Diceros bicornis minor: one gene and its partner. The protein of the gene in region 2 interacts with the protein of the main gene of each other region in a biochemical or structural test. Links are inferred from orthologs where the notes say so. Each region holds a gene or a part of one and is shown on either strand. Other genes may lie near its edges.

What was found.
Region 1: the proteins of RXRA (region 2) and TRIM24 form a complex in vitro, tested with the Homo sapiens proteins (3 studies listed by BioGRID). The link is inferred for Diceros bicornis minor from reciprocal best matches to the Homo sapiens genes RXRA and TRIM24.

The regions. Positions count from the first base shown.
Region 1 is NC_080742.1:86,359,991-86,368,058, reverse strand, and holds the start of TRIM24 (transcription intermediary factor 1-alpha), read right to left. Parts: upstream 3,193-8,068; 5' UTR 2,872-3,192; coding exon 2,505-2,871; intron 1-2,504. UniProt on the Homo sapiens protein: Transcriptional coactivator that interacts with numerous nuclear receptors and coactivators and modulates the transcription of target genes.
Region 2 is NC_080767.1:41,224,223-41,232,044, reverse strand, and holds the start of RXRA (retinoic acid receptor RXR-alpha), read right to left. Parts: upstream 3,149-7,822; 5' UTR 3,126-3,148; coding exon 3,095-3,125; intron 1-3,094. UniProt on the Homo sapiens protein: Receptor for retinoic acid that acts as a transcription factor.

The DNA of each region.
Region 1 (8,068 bases), on a different chromosome or scaffold from region 2:
TTTTTAGAGGAGTATGTGAAAGTATCATTTGTTAAAGCCTTCTTCTTTCTTAGTATGAAAACAAAAACATGGGGCCAGCCCCATGTTTTTAAGTTCAGTGCACTCCACTATGGCAGCCTGGGTTCGGACCTACACCACTTGTCAGAGGCCATGCTGTGGCGGCAACCCACATACAAAACAGAGGAAGATTTGCACAGATGTTAGCTCAGCAACAATTTTCTTCAAGCAAAAAGAGAAATATTGGCAACAGATGTTAGCTCAGGACGAATCTTCCTCAGAAAAAAAAAAAAACAACAACAAAAAACAACAAAACATTATCTTCTAATTTAAATGCTTTCCTTGAACTCTTGCTTACAATACAAAGAGCAAAGACATTTGGAGACTGGAATTACATAGAACATTTTGAGACATCTGGAATAACAAACTTGTCTCAGAATTGAAGATCAGAGCTCTTATTGCCCATGTTCTCATTTATTCAGGTCTAAACGTCATCACCAGGCACACAATAAATCTTAATTCTAGAATTACGCAAAATTCAGATCCTAATTGGCTATTGGCCTATTTAACCATTTTAAATACGAATAAAAGAAACTTTAAAATGTCTAGAAATTAAGAACTAAGATTTTTTTGTGTGTGAGGAAGATCAACCCTGAGCTAACATCCATGCCAATCCTCCTCCTTTTTTTCCCCTTTTCTCCCCAAAGCCCCAGTAGATAGCTGTATGTCATAGCTGCACATCCTTCTAGTAGCTGTATGTGGGACGTGGCCTCAGCATGGCCGGACAAGCAGTGTGACGGTGCGCACCCGGGATCTGAACCCAAGCCGCCGGTAGTGGAGCTCGTGCACTTAACCGCTAAGCCACCGGGCTGGCCCTAGAAATAAAGTTTCACCTGTACTAACTTTCCAACAGGTGGGCCACATCAGAACAAACTAGTGTGAAGAATCTGCGATTTTTACCCTACTTGCATGCTAACAAAGTAGCTTACCACGGATGCTGGTAGAAGACATGAGACTCAGGGGTCAGAGACAAAGGGCAGCTTGTTGCTTACTCACCGTAAAAACATAAGCCAAAGCATCAACAGTTTTGCACTCGTTACCAGAGCCCCAGTTCCCACTGGCAAAGTAAAGAGGGCCAGTTGACACCCGCACAGGCAATGGGTTGTGTTACAGGAGATGAAACCTAAGCTTGGAGAACCCTCATCTTTTGATAGGCAATAAGCATGCCTGCCTTTTACTCCAGGAGACATTTCTCTTTTTTATACTGGACCATATGCATGCCTGCTCTTTGCTCTGGTGGAAGACACTATCTCTATCTTCCAAGGCTGTTGCTTATACAAACATCCTTTAAAAACAGAAACAAAGGGCAGTCACTACCTCCACTGGCAAGACCTGCAGAAACAGAAAGAGACCCATGGAAAATTGTTTCCCTCAACTAGATGTTGTTCCTAACATACAATTAATTGAGTCCAACACCACAATCTATTTAAAACATCAATTTCATATACCCCTTGACCTAGCTCATTTAATTAGAATTTTATCTCAAATTAAATCAACTAGTCCTTCTAAAAAGGAAGTATATATTAAAAATGAATTATTTCCCTCTTCCAGTTACTTTGTATTGTCTAAAAGGAGGTGCTCAAATATTCGCAATATTAAAATAGAAAAACCCCAAGTATTCTACTAGAAACAAATAATTACCGTGCTTACTTCAACTAACTTGAAATGTTTCAAACCTGTTAACGTTAGCAATAGGAACTACCCGTCAAAAGTCTCATTACACAGTAACAAACACCACAAAGAAAACAGTAAGTTCAACATTTCCAGCTGTTGTCTACAAAATACAAGAAAATCCTACACCCAAATCACTTTGTTCTATTTCTCTTTACCCTTTACAGTCTCAAAACCTTCAAAGAGAAAGACAACAAAACACTGTCTCTTAGTTCCTTTGTCCCCAGCAGAGGGAAGAGAAGAGAAGTGGGGACTCATTAAGGTCAAGAACCCAAAACGTGTAAGACAGAAAACAGACGGCATCCGATCTGTAATCAATCATCAAAGAAAGTCACCATCACTTCATCTTCATCCCGCCCGTGCCCCCTCCAGCTCAAATAACGGGAGTCTACAGGAGATGATTAGGATCGTATGGACCTGGACAAAGCTTTGGGGAGGCAGAGGTTAGCAGTTAACTAGATGCAGTCGGCGGAGAACCCGAGATACAGCCGACAGCGGACTCCGACAGAGGTTTTCAAAAGTGCGGCTGGCGGGGCCACGCAGCCCCGGAGGAGAATGCCGAGGAGCAGGAGCAGCAGCAGCGCCGCCGAGTCCACGGCGCCCGTGGAAGTTGCTCGCGGGGCGCGCGGCACGCCGCCGAGCGCGCGGGCCCTCCATGTCACCGCCGCCAACACAGACCCTCCTCCCCGCCCCTCCCCCGCCGGGCACCCGGGCGGCGGCGACATGCCAGCGGGTCGCGCCGCACCGGGGCGCCCGCCTCCCCGCCCGCCTCTCACCTTGGGTGGCGAACGGCGAGGAGCCGCTGACCGGCGAGCCGGGGGCGGGCACGGGCGGCGGGGTCTCGGCCGAGCCCAGCAGGGGCGCGGACAGCATGAGGTAGCGCTGGGGCGCGGGCAGGCAGCGCTGGCAGAAGGAGTGCAGGCAGGGCAGCAGCTTGGGCGTCCGGCTCTGGATGTTCTGGTGGCACACGGCGCAAGTGTCCAACAGGTTGAGCCGGGCCGCCTCGCCTCCGCGCTCCGAGTCGGGGCCCTGCCGACTCTCGGCCTCGTTCTCCCCACTCGGCGCCGCCGAGGGCCCCCCGGCGGCCACCGCCGCCGAAGCCGCCGCGGCCGGCGTCGCCGCCTTCTCCACAGCCACCTCCATTGTCCTGCCCCCGCCGCCGCCGGGGTAGGGGGAGCGCGGTCTCCGCCCGCGCAGCCCCCGACGACCTCCTCCTCCGCCTCCTCACAGGCCGCTCGGGTGACCCGCGGGAGAGGGAGGGAGGGAGGGAGGGCCGGGCCGAGGAAGCCTCCTCAGGCCCCGCGGATCCGCCTCCAGTGTGGCGCGGCCGGAAGAAGGGAATCTGTCAGCGAGGACCGTTCCTCGCACCGGGAAGGCTGCGCCCCGTCCGCCTCGCCAACCGCCGCGGCGCTCGTCGAACCCGCCCAGCCTGCCCTCAGCTCCCCGCCTTTCTCTCGGGGCCCCCAACTCACCTCGCGCCCTCCACCCGCCCTCCCTCTCCCAGCAACTGAGGCGAAGGCGAGGAGCAAGCCGCCCAATAGCCGCCGCGCCTCGCCAGGGGGCGGGGCCTGCTGAAGCCCGCGAGGCTCCGACGGCCGCGGCGGGAGGGTGGGAGGCTGGGAGGTGGGAGGGCGCTCGCCCAGCCCCGCCCCCCCGGGCTCCTAGAACCGCGTCCTCTGATTGGGCCTTTGTGTGTGTTTAGCTCCTTGGTCAAGATTAAGGGTTCGTTTGTTCACGACCGAGCACTTAATTCGGTCCGCCTGTGTGAGCTCCTCCTATGGGGCGGAGCTCCACCGGGTCTGCTGAACGCCGTTAATTAAGTAACTGCTTCGAAAACTGTGGTTTTACTACTAGAGACAGGGGTCCTGTAGGAGCAGTAAATATGGTAGGAGGGTCAGAGGAGGACGAAGTGGAGATAGTGAAGAGCAAACAAGGAAAGAATTTTAAAAATGGGAAAATGTTGTGTAAAAAGGATTATGAAGGCAGGATGGATTGTGCCACCTGAATGTCCTCATCTCTGTGATGAATGATGGAGCATGAGTAAGGGGCGAGGTTCTTTTGCAAGTGGGGAATTTTTAAAGGATTTGCTTTTTAAGTGAATAAAAATGGTTCATTTTCCAAGGAATTAATATATAAAGATTGCAAATGTCTTTTTTTGGTTTGTTTTTGGTTTTTTTTTTGTGAGGAAGATCAGCCCTGAGCTAACATCTGCCAATCCTCCTCTTTTTTTGCTGAGGAAGACTGGCCCTGGGCTAACATCCATACCCATCTTCCTCTACTTTATATGGGACGCTGCCACAGCATGGCTTGACAAGCGGTGCATCGGTGCGTGCCAGGGATCCGAACCGGCGAACCCTGGGCTGCCACAGTGGAGCGCACGCACTTAACCGCTTGTGCCACCGGGCCAGCCCCTGCAAATGTCTTTATTGCATAAATATGGCATCATTACAAGAAATAAAAATAAATGTCAACACTGATGTCCAAATAATTCATAACTTCAGTATTCTTTTTCATCCCCCGCCCCCCACACACACTTGTATCAGAAGTTACACACATTTTCACTCAAAAAATGGCCAAGATTTTAAGGAGCTTGAAGTATAGAAACGGGATGGGGAAAACAAAGCTTTTGTACACACATGACTGTAAAAAAAATTGTATGCAAGTGCCATTTTTAAGTACAAATGAAGTGGCGCTGGACCTTTGAGGAGAGTGGGATGGTCTCAGAAAAGGCTTTGTTAGAATTGAAATGATCCTGGAAGAAGAAATGGCAATGGGGGAGGGCAAACTGGAGACATCCTGGCCCTCCCTCAAGATTTTACTTTTCCCAAGGTATTCCTCTGCTACCAGCCTCTTTCCCAACCAGTCTCCACCGGCCTAAAATCCAGTCTCCATAGGCCTCCAGAGTGAAGTTCTCTTTCTTAATGACATTCAAAGGCTATTTCTTTTGTATAGTAGCAGTTTCTTAAGCCTTAGTTTGCATAAGAATCACCTGGCAAGATTACTCAAAAACTGGTTCTTGGGCCCATCCCCGTATTCAATTTTAGCAGCACCTCATGATTGTGATCTGGGTGGTTCAGGACCACCCTTAGAGAAACAGAGGCCTATCCCAAATTTCTTAACCCACCTACCTTCCATCTGTGATTTCATTCCTATTCACCTCTCAAGCTGAAGCTCCCACTACTTGCATACTCTACCCTCCAGCAATTTTAACGCCTTCCTCCTTTGCACATGTTGTTCCCTTTGTTTTGGAATGCCCTTCTCTCAAAATTCAGACTTACCTATTGTCCCCTTAAACCACCCCAGACAAAGCTCATCATCCCTTCCCCGGTACATATTCTGTACCCTATCTTTTTGTAGCTGCACTTTGAAAATCTTCATATACTAGAAAAGCAAATTCTAAGTTAATGATTTTAAGATGCTAGTAATTCATTACAAAGGAGGTATACAGGATTCAAGCAGACTAAAGAAAAGCGCCTTTTATTCCTTCGAATGATGGTGGTGGAGAAAGAAGGAGTGAGAGGTAAATTGAGGAGGCTCGTTTTGAGAGAGTTCCATGTAATTTGATACAACCCACTAGTTTAGTTTCTCAAATTATCATGGATAAATAGTTTTAGAGAAAATTATCTTCCGTATTCTTAGACTTCCTAGTCTCGTGTAATTAAAACAATCGTATGTTTTACTTTGTCCAAATATATATGGCTTCTGGGGATTTTTTTAAGTCCAGAAAATGAATTTATTGTTTTAGGGTATTTTATTTTATTTATTTTTGTGTGTGTGTGAGGAAGATCTGCCCTGAGCCAACATCTGCCAATCCTCCTCTTTTTGCTGAGGAAGACTGGCCCTGGGCCAACATCCACGCCCATCTTCCTCCACTGTATATGGGACGCTGCCACAGCATGGCTTTGATAAGCAGTGCGTTGGTGCACGCCCGGGATCGGAACCAGCAAACCCCGGGCCGCTGCAGCGGAGCGCGCGTACCTAACTGCCTGGGCCACTGGGCCGGCCCCTGTTTTAGGGTATTTTAATCATGTGATTTTCTTATCTAGATATTGTTGTCCTCCCAAGTGTGTTGCAAAAATATTTCACAGAGATCCACACTACTGATAGATTATGTTTCCTTAATTACAGCTCTGAATTTAACCCCCTCTCTTGTTCTACAATTTCTATGGCTCCCCACTGCACCTGATCATCACTGCTTTCCCATACCCAATCAAAACTTCAGCCTAATTGGATAGTTTACCATTTTCTAAACTGCACCACCACCACGTCTACCACCTCCTCTTGATACTGGCTCAAGAAAGGTTGACATAAGGGAAGCCATATTGTAGAAAAGAAAAACTCTACTATAACTTTGAATGACCTCTGACAAACTAACCCAGCTGGATATGCACCCTCCAGGAGACTGTGGGAGATCAAGATTTGGCCACCCTGAAATATATCTCTTTACCTTGATTGTTTTCTCTGACAGACATTTGACCTCCCCCACTAACTGCCTAAAGAATTTGCCATAGTAATTCCTTCCTGGAACAGATCTTCCATCTGATGGCTGTAATATAATGTAAAATAGATGTTACAATAGGAAAGGCAGCAACAAGCCCATCTTATCAGATGTTCTGTCTCTCTGGCCACATTCTCTGGATGGCCCTGTGAGGAGTCACCAGACAAACATTTACATTTATAAGGGAAATCTCCATTTGTAAAGGTATCTCCCTCTCTGTGTTGGGAAGAGGGGGGATGACCTCATTTCTAGAAACTTATCAATGTGGAAAGTGAGGCCTTAAATCTGCATAATAACCTTACTCTTGTTTACTGTGCTTTAGTGGTAATCTCCTGTAACTGACTCCCCCCACCCCCAACATCCTTCTTTGTCATTGGCTGAACATGGTATTTAAGACGAGAATTTCTGCTATTGTGTTGAGAAACGCAGTGTCCCTGGTTTCTCCCATGTATACATGTTATTAAACTTGGTATTATTTTCTCCTGCTAACCTGTCTTGTTAATGATTTGGCCAGCCATAAGAACCTTAAGGGAAAGGGCAGAGGGGGATTCTCCCTCTTCCCCCACAAGATCTAACTGCTCTGTAGATTTTACGACCCCTGCTTGTGCACGTACCTCCCAGCTGTGATAAGATGATAACTGCTTTTTTGAGTTCCTTAGGATGCGATGACCCTCAAACAGAGAATCTATGCTGATAGCCATCATCAGTGAAAAGTGAAAGATCTGATGTGGCACTCCCAGTCTGTAACACCAGAAGGTCAACATTCCTAACGCCCTCCGCAATAACCCAATGGCCTATATAACTGCTGTAAGATTTCATGCCCCCTTAGGATGGTTCTTTTGGACGTGAGTCTGCCATCTTCCCTCTTGCTAGCAAGTTTGCTAATAAAAATAAAATAAAAAAGTCCTAAAATAAAAAAGTAATAAAAAAGTCCTTTTTCTCTTACCACCTTGCTTCTTGACTATTGGCATGTCTTTCGGCGAGCAGAAGGCCCCACGTTGGGTGGTAACACTCTGAGAGGGGACATAAGAATTGGAGCTAAGAATCTTTGTCTGGAAGACAAGGGAGTCTGCAAGGGGAGCAAGAGCATTAGATGCTAATGAGGATTTCTCATGCCCACCCCTTGAAAGGTAGTAACAAATAGAAATTCTAGAACTTCCAGGGAAGTTTAACAAAATCATTTTTGAATAGAACTCTTAGAGATCGTGATACAAAGCTAGGCAAGGAGGGTTTGAGATAATCCCTTCACCCAATCTCCTATAGCTTTAGAGGAACAAGGAAAAGATTCTGTACCTTCAGTAGTAGCTGAGAGGCTTGGATGACTTGAGGCCTCATGGTTAGGACAAGGAGGATGTAGTGTGTAGGGATCAAAGACCATCTTGGATTATATCGGTGGCTTCCACAGAGATGCCAACAGTCAAGAACCAATGGAGACAAGGCACATTCTGTGTATGCCACCGTGAACCAAAGATGCCCAAGGACTCAGGTCTCTGAGTCCACGTGCCATGGCCCTATTAACCCCTTGGATCTTCAAATTGGCCCTAGATGGAAGGGAGAATGAATATTATATTGACTGATTTAAAACCTGCAATGATGACCAAAACCAAAATGGAAATAAAACCTAAAGTAACTGAGAATATGATTAGATTAAATTTTCTGCCATCAGGAAGATAAAAAGTTCAGTCATTTTTTTAAAAATGTTTGTAGGGGCCCCCCCCAATGGCAGAGTGGTTAAGTTTGCGCGCTCCACTTTGGCAGCCTGGGGTTCGCAGGTCCGGATCCCGGGCGCGGACCTACGCACTACTTGTGAAGCCATGCTGTGGCAGATATCCCACATATAAA
Region 2 (7,822 bases):
ACGAGTGGGAAAAAGGCGCCTGCCCGACGCCCCTACGTCCACCTGTCAGTGCCACGTGAGGAGGACGCTCGGCGTGCTCTGATCATCCTCAACGCCTGGGACCCTGCGCTGGGCACTTTAGAACACAGACCTCTTCCAGCTCTTCCAAAAACCCTACAAGCACCACTGTCTTTTTACAGAAGGGAAACTGAGGCTCAAAGACACAAAGTTCAACCTGCCCAAGGCCACACAGCTGGCTGGTCAGTGGCAGACAAGACCGGGACCCAGGGCTGCCTGGGCCCGAGGTGCAGGGCGAGGGTGGGGGAGGCCAGAGGAGCGGGGTAACCTCAGGGGCACTGGAGGGAACCTCTGCCCCAACAAGGGGACGGAGACCACTTAGGGGTCTCCACGCAGATGGACGGACATCAGCACATACACACTTACACCCCACACACACCCTGCTGGGGCCCAGAAGCCCCTAGAATCTCCCAACCCCGGGCCATGCCCACAGGGTGGTGGGTGCTGCTTGAGGCGCGGGAGGGTGGTGACCAGAGCAGGACCCCGGGTCCTGGAGCCAAAGTCTCCGAGAACGCTCCGGTTCTCTCCTCCTCTGGCCTGGAAAAGGCCTGGCCAGTCTCAGCAAGAGGCCAACTTCTTCCTCCCCAAAAACTGGGGAAGGGGGAATCCCAACTTTGACAGAAACCAAAAATCGGCATTCCATCTTTGTCCATAAAATAATAAATACCGAGATACGCTATTATCCAGACATCCGCACGTGGAGGAAGGCCGGGCCACAGCAAAGGCCCGCAGCACTAACCCTGGGCGGGGGGCACGCCATGGCCGGTTTTTACTTCCTCTGTTTGGTGTTAATAACAGAGTTGTAGGGTGGTTGGTTTTGGAGTTCTTTCTTTCTTTGGGGGGAGCTGTTTTACAGAATCTCAGCATCATCCCTGATCAGCCACTTGCACAAACTCTCCCACCAAAAGCACCCTCCTAGCCAAACACAGGTTTGATATTCTCCAAACCCATTGCCGCAGACTCCTCCACCCTCCCCCAGTGTGAGCTGGAAGGAGCCCCAGGAGGGCCGGGAGCTCCTCGCCCAGCCCCGCGCCCACCGTCCGGCCCGTGTCCTCGGCTGTAAGGTGAGCTGGCTGACCCAGCATGGCTCGGCCCAGACTAACGCCAGCCCGTCAGAACGGTCCCTGGGCTGACCCCGGGATGAACCGGGGTTACTCTGGGCCGGGGCCTGCCTGGAAGCCTTCGCCAGCCACCTAGGACCAACCTCTTGTGGCATCCCAACCCCAGAGCTCCAGACAGGGCCGAGGCCCACCAGGGGACCCCTCAGCCTCCCTCCAAGAAGCTTGCCCATCTCCCTGACCCTGACCGGGCAGCCAAGTGCCCAGCACCACTGCAATGCTGGAGGCAGGAAGGTCTCCTGGGGTGCCAAGCCAACCACAGCCACAGTAGCACCTCCTGTGCTCCTCCTCACCCGCCCTGGGGGCTCCCACCCCTCCCCACACTGCCCTATGCTCTCTGGGCCTGTCCACTCTCCACCCCCAGCCTTGGGAACTGGATCATTTCCAGGAACCAGCTCTCTCGCCTGTAGTTGCGGACATGCTGTTCCCTGGGCTTGAAACTCCCCCTATCTGTCTCCTGGCTCACTCCAACCCAGGCTCAGTTCAAACAACACCCCCTCCAGGAAGCCCTCCTGATCCTCCTAGCCAGGGCAGAGGCCTCTTCTACTATGTACCCCCAGAGCACTCACCATGCCGCAGGGTGGCCCCAGCCCACTTGTCTGCGCCTGCCAAGGTCTGGGGGCTCCTGAAGGTAGGAACTATAACTGGTTCACTGAGCACCCCTGGGGCCTGGCACACAGCAGGTGCCAAATAAAGACTTACTAAATGGATGGATGGGGTGGGGGTGGGAGAGCTAGCAATGGGTGAACACAGGCTACAGGATTCACCACAGTCCTTAAGAACCAGCTGAGCAAGCACCAAGTTTCAAACAGACCCTAAGGCACTGACAAGCTGTCCAACTCCAAGTAGATTAAGCAACCTCTCTGAGCCTTTATTTCTTCTTCTGCAAAGAGATGTCACATACGAAGGAAGTGGTCAGGAGGCAATGGAAGTGGACGAGTGACCCTGAAGCTGCCCTTTCTCACCCGTCCCCACAGATGGTGAACAGAGGTGGTGAGGCACAGGTGGCCCAGAGCTAGCAGACCTGAGTTCGAGTCCTGGCTGCTGCACGACTCATGCCTGGGTGGGGCCCCGGGCATCTGACTCAACCCCGCTGGGTCTAAGAGTCCTTGTCCCCACAAAGGGATGGTGCCCTCGGCTTCAGCCCCCCTCACACATCACACAGAGCACTCACTAGGGGACACCTGTGTCCCACCGCCCCCATGCTAGGAACAGGCAGATGAGCAAGGCCGGGCCTGCCCAGGGACACCCCGTCCAGAGTCAGACGACAGCCTTTCCCGGAGCCGAGAGAGCCCAGTCAGTCAGTGATGCAGCACGAGGAGGAGGGGCACTCTGTCCTGGTGCAGACATCAATCAAGGAAGGCTTCCTGTAGGAGGCACTACTCACCTCCCTCCAGCTACAGCACAGTAGACTCCTACATCCTCCAAACCAACCCCTCGGCTCTCTGTCCACAAGCTGGGAGATAGAAAAGACCTACACACATGCCCACCCCAGGGCAGCCACCACAGCCGCAGCCCCAGGGAAGGCGGCAGACAGATGCAGGGACCCCTGGCACCAGGAGGCACCGGGTCCAAGGCCAGCCCCACCTCCCCCGGCCAGGGACCACAGTCAGTGGCGTCACATCTCGGGGCCGCAGTGTTCTCATCTGGAAAATGGGCTCACAAACCCGCCAGACAGGGCTGTTCTAGGATGACTGGGTGAGCTGAGCATGTGCCCGGCGCCCAGCAGGCCTGGGCTGCTATGGCGGGGAGGCACCGGCCACGACTCCAGCACATGGCAGGTGCCTGACAACCGAGAGCCCCTTCGGAGGTCACTGCTCTTCCCGTGACTGTCATCCCAGCCCGAGTGACAGTGCTCGCTGCCACCGGCTGGAACCCACATGGTCCTCCCACCCCGGCCACTGAAACTCCCACCTTACCGAGCGCCTCTCCCAACACCCGCCTCCACATGGGCCCCTGGCTGGGCGGCAGCCTCGCTGTGTGGCCCAGACCCAGCCCCTCACCCTCTCTTGGCGCCTGCTTCCTCATCTATAAGAGACTTGCCCCCAGGCCCCTCCCCTGCTGACAGGCGACGGGCAGACGCCAAAGTAGGGGTGAGGCCTGACCACAGTTCCTAGAAGCCAGGCCCCACCCGGCAGGGGACCTGATAGGGGTCTGCAGCAGTGCGAGGGTGATCCTGAGCCCCTCTCCTCCTCCCCTTCACCCAGAGGGCCTGATTCCAGAAGCATCCTCAACCAGCTCCCTGCCCAGGCCAGCAGAGTCCCCTCAGGGATCAGAGAGCCTGGGCTACTCGCCTGAGGTCGCACAGCTCAGAATTGCAGAACCGGACGCCCCCAGCAGGTCACTTGGCCTCTCTGAGCTCTGGTTTCCTCCTCTCAACACTGAGAATGAGAATGCCCACCCCAGGAGGTTAAGGGGAGGGCCCCCCGACCCCTCCAAAGTCAACTGCCTGGAGCACGTGGACAATCGATGAATGTGCAGCCCCCGTGGCCACTGTCTGCCCCCCTGCAGTGCAGGCCCACGAGCCAGGCCTCACGCCAGCCAAAGGGAGAGGGGCGCCACCCAGTGCTGCCCAGGGCTCCCCTCTTCCCACCATCTCCTCGAGAGGGGGCAGCCCAGTACGCCAGGACAGTCCCTCAGAGGGCACAGGGAGCTGGGACCCTTGGCTGCCGCCCTCTGCCACCTGCTCGCTGTGTGCCCACCGGGCTGGCAAGCCATCCTCGGCCTGCCTCTGCTCCCCGACCCTCCTTCCTGCCCCAAGGCCCAGGTTCAAATCCCGCCTTCCACTCCAAAGCCACCTGACCTCTGTAAAAGGGGCAGGTCACAAAGACAACGTGGGCCCAGAGTAATGTCACCCTGCTCTAGTGTGTCACGACTCTGCCAGCACCTCGGGCAGCAAGGGGAGGGGAGGAAATGGGGAGCCCGACACCCCAAGAGGGAGGCGCAGGCTGGGCCTGGCACCCAGGCCCCTGACACCCAGTCCTGTGACAGGCTGGCAGGATGTTGGGAAACCCAGGAGCACTTATTTCAACACCGCCCGCCGCGTCAGCGACTGGTTTCGACACGCAGCAGCGCCCAGGCAAGGGCCACTGCCAACTTGTCCGCCGCCCGGCGGTCACGCGGGGAGAGGCCGGTCGGGGCACAGGGCTCACGGCCCCACGGCCCCCCGGCACCCCCAACCCCCCGACCTGGGCAACGGCCCTCGTCCTCAGGGCACGCAGAGATAAGGGTGGGGCCACCTTGAAGGTGCAAAGGCCACGCCCAGCCTGCTTCCCACTCCCCAGGCCAGGCCGCAGGCCCCGGGAATGGCGGGGACCAGGCCAGAAATGGGCCACCGTGCGCGGCCGTGAACCGGGTTGAGGCTTCCCTGCGGACCTGCGGGGCGAAGCTCGGGGGGAGACGGTGTTCTGGAAAGAGAAAGCGCCCGCGGAGGCCGGGCCTCCTCCCCAGCCCCGGGAGGCCCAGCAAGTGGAGTGGCAGCGGAAGGGGTCCGCCGGGCTCGCCCACAGCCCCGAGCGCCCAGGGCGCCCTGCCCGCCCAGGCCCGGGGGGCCCCTTCGCGGGTCGTCTCCCTGTCCCCACGGCGGCCAGCCAGGCGGAGCAAGCGCGCCCCCACCTCCCAGGCCAGCCGAGCCCGGCCCACTTGCGGCCTGCACGCCTTTGCTGACTTGTAAGCAGAAACAAGAGTGGGCCGGGGACGGCAGGTGCCACTCAAGGGCACCTCGTGCTCCAGGGACATGAGCCCTCACGGCAAGCCCACCCCAGAGAGGAGGAAACCAAGGCCCAGTGAGGGCCAGGGACTCACCCAAGGCCACCCCTGGGGGAGCAGGGCAGCAAGAACCCCACCCCAGCCCCACAGCTGGCTGCCCGCACCGGGCCAGCAGGAGGCAGGAGCTTTCATTGGGGTAGGGGCCCGATGGGGGCGGTGGGCCAACTTTGGAGGTAAATGCCCAGCCCACATGCCCTCTGCCATGTGTCCCTGGGACGACATGCCCAGGGCCCCAGCACCCGCTGACTCCAGAGCCTGCCCAGGGCCCCACACCAGCCGACACCCGCACACTCTCTCTTCAGCTCTGGGGGCTAAGTCTCCCAGCACAGCTGCCCGCTGTTCAGGCCAGACGCGGCCTCACCCCAGGCCCTCAGGAGACATCCCAAAGGAGTGAGCAGAGGGGACTCTGCCCTGGCCGCTGGCTGCCACCTCCCTCAATGACTGCGGCAACCCCTCAGCCGGCCGCCCAGCCGGGCAGCCTCCCCTCTCAGCAGCACCCTCTCCTAGAACGTGCGGCCCAGCGGCATCCACGCTCCCTCTGGCCCTGCCCCTCTGTGGGTTGAGCCTGATGGGCATCCGGCCCCCCAGGTCCTGCCACTGCCGGTTCCCCACCCTGCAGACTCGCCGGGGTCTCCACCACACCATGGGCTCCAAGGGGCCACAATGGTGTCTGGATGCCCCACCCCTGGTGTCCAGCACAATGCCCAGCCGACTCTCGGGGACAGGCTGGGGGTGACAAAGAAGCACGATTAGAGCTGTCATGCCACCGTTGGCTCTCTGAAATCCCGAAAGGCTCTGTATAGCCAGGCCACATCAAAAGATATGGAATTTCAAATGAGGGGTGACCATGAGCCCCTCACCTCACACCAGATACTGCTGTAGATCTGGGGACACACAGAGAACCCACTGGGGGGACAGAGAGTGAACCAGCACAGAAATAAGGAAGGTAATCACAGGTTCCCGGGCGGGGAGGCCCAGTCTGGGCCCAGTGGCCAGGAAAGGGCTTGTGGAGAGCCGGGGAATGAGAGCAGCCAGGCAGGCAGTCTCCTGCAGGGCGAGAGCGGCCCTGCCAGGTCCAGACTCAGGTCTGAGACAACAAAACCCGGTTCCCCCAGGGCCCACTGTGGACCGATGTCACCCAACGCACCCCTCTGGGGCCCTCAAAGATACCTCCGATGGGGACAGATGGTTCTCCTTCCAGTCCCCATATTGGGAGACCAAGGGCCAGATCCCGGCTGCGTCCTGGGGAGTCAGGCAATGGGGCTTCCCCTCCCCCCATGCCCACCCGCCCTGGAGCCCTGCCCCCAGCACCCTACGAGGTCTTGAGACCCAGCAAGACTCCAAAACCTCAGAGGGTCTTGCTTGGCACACTGAGGGGCTGTGAACACCCAGCCCATCCATTCGGCAGACTAGAGTCAGAGATCCGGTGTGAGTTCACGTGTCTGAGCGTCTGTGCACGCGCATGCATACGTGTGTGACTGCATAAACAACGTGTGTAAGGTTTCAGGTTAAAATGGGCCTTGAACCGGGAGGAGGGGGTGTCTCCACTCAGCCCTGGCCCCCACGCCTCCGAACCACGAGGCTGCAGGAGACAGCAGGGCAGCTTTCGGACGGGACGGGAAGGGGGATGTGCCCAGGGTCACTCAGCTGGAGAGCGCCCTAGCCGCCCCAGGCTGGACCTCGAACCCAGGCCCGTGACTCCAAAATCCAGGTAGCCCCGGGTGGGGCCAGGGGTGGGGGGGCTCTCTGGGATGGGGCCCAAAAAGGCCCTCAGAGGTGTGGCAGTCATTGTCCCTCACACTAACACATGCACACACACGTGTGCACCACCCACAGAGCGACACACCTGACTGCTCACTCAAAGCAAGACAGACAGCTCTCCAGAACCTTCTGCTGCCTGTGCCTTCTCACTCCACAGGCTGCATCTCACCGCACTGACATGCAGGGGCTGCCGGGCCCCGGGAGGGAAACCCCAGGCCCTCGGGAGCGCCCGCACCAGCGCCCAGGGAGAGCAGCTGCCATTCTTCCCAGAAGGGGCCACGCCCGTCAAGCCCTGACCAGCCTCTGCTGAGCCCGTGGGGGCACCGGGGAGCCAGAGCTGGGAGCGGGCAGGGCCGAGTACGCAGGCGTGTCCTCCTCCACCGGGAGGGGGCCTCTCAGGGACGGGCTCGCAGAGCCGAGGCCCAGGGAGAGATTTCGCTTTAAAGCCACCACTTCACGCTGTTCATCATATGCAGGTGACAATGGGGGGAATGAGCACCTCGGTAACTCTGGAGTGAGAAGAAAGAGATTAAACAGGGGCTGCTGTTCCCCAGGCTGAGGGCCTGGGGCCTCCTCAAGCCCAGGACCCCTTGGCTCAAGCTGGGAAGCACCCCACCCTCACCCCTCAGATGGTGGAAAGAGTCCCGATGGGGCAGAGGAGACGCCAGGCCCACACCCCCCGCAGCCAGGCTCCCGGGCACCACGGACGCCAGGCGCCGTTTCTGGGCAGCCGGGGCCTGGAGCAGAGCCACACATGCTGGCACCTCCAAGGAGGGCCGAGCTGGCTTCATAATGAAGCCAGCGGTGTTTGTTTAATAACAAATCACCCGGAGCAGGCGGGGAGCGCCTTATCGGCGAGGATCTCCAGCAGGGCTGATACCATCAACTGAAGTCAAGGAGCTCTGGGAACTATTAGCTTAATGAGCAGTTCCTGCAGGGTCAGCAGAACTGCTGGCTGAGCCGGGGCCCGGGAACCAGTGTGGCTGCCACAGCTGGGCTGAGCGGGTCCTCGGGTGGGGCCTGGTGAGGGAAAGGACCCCGGAGGTGCAAACGAGGTGCCGCAGGACAGCACGGGAGTCGCCCCTCGCAGCTCTCCACGTCCCTGCGCCCCTTGGGGG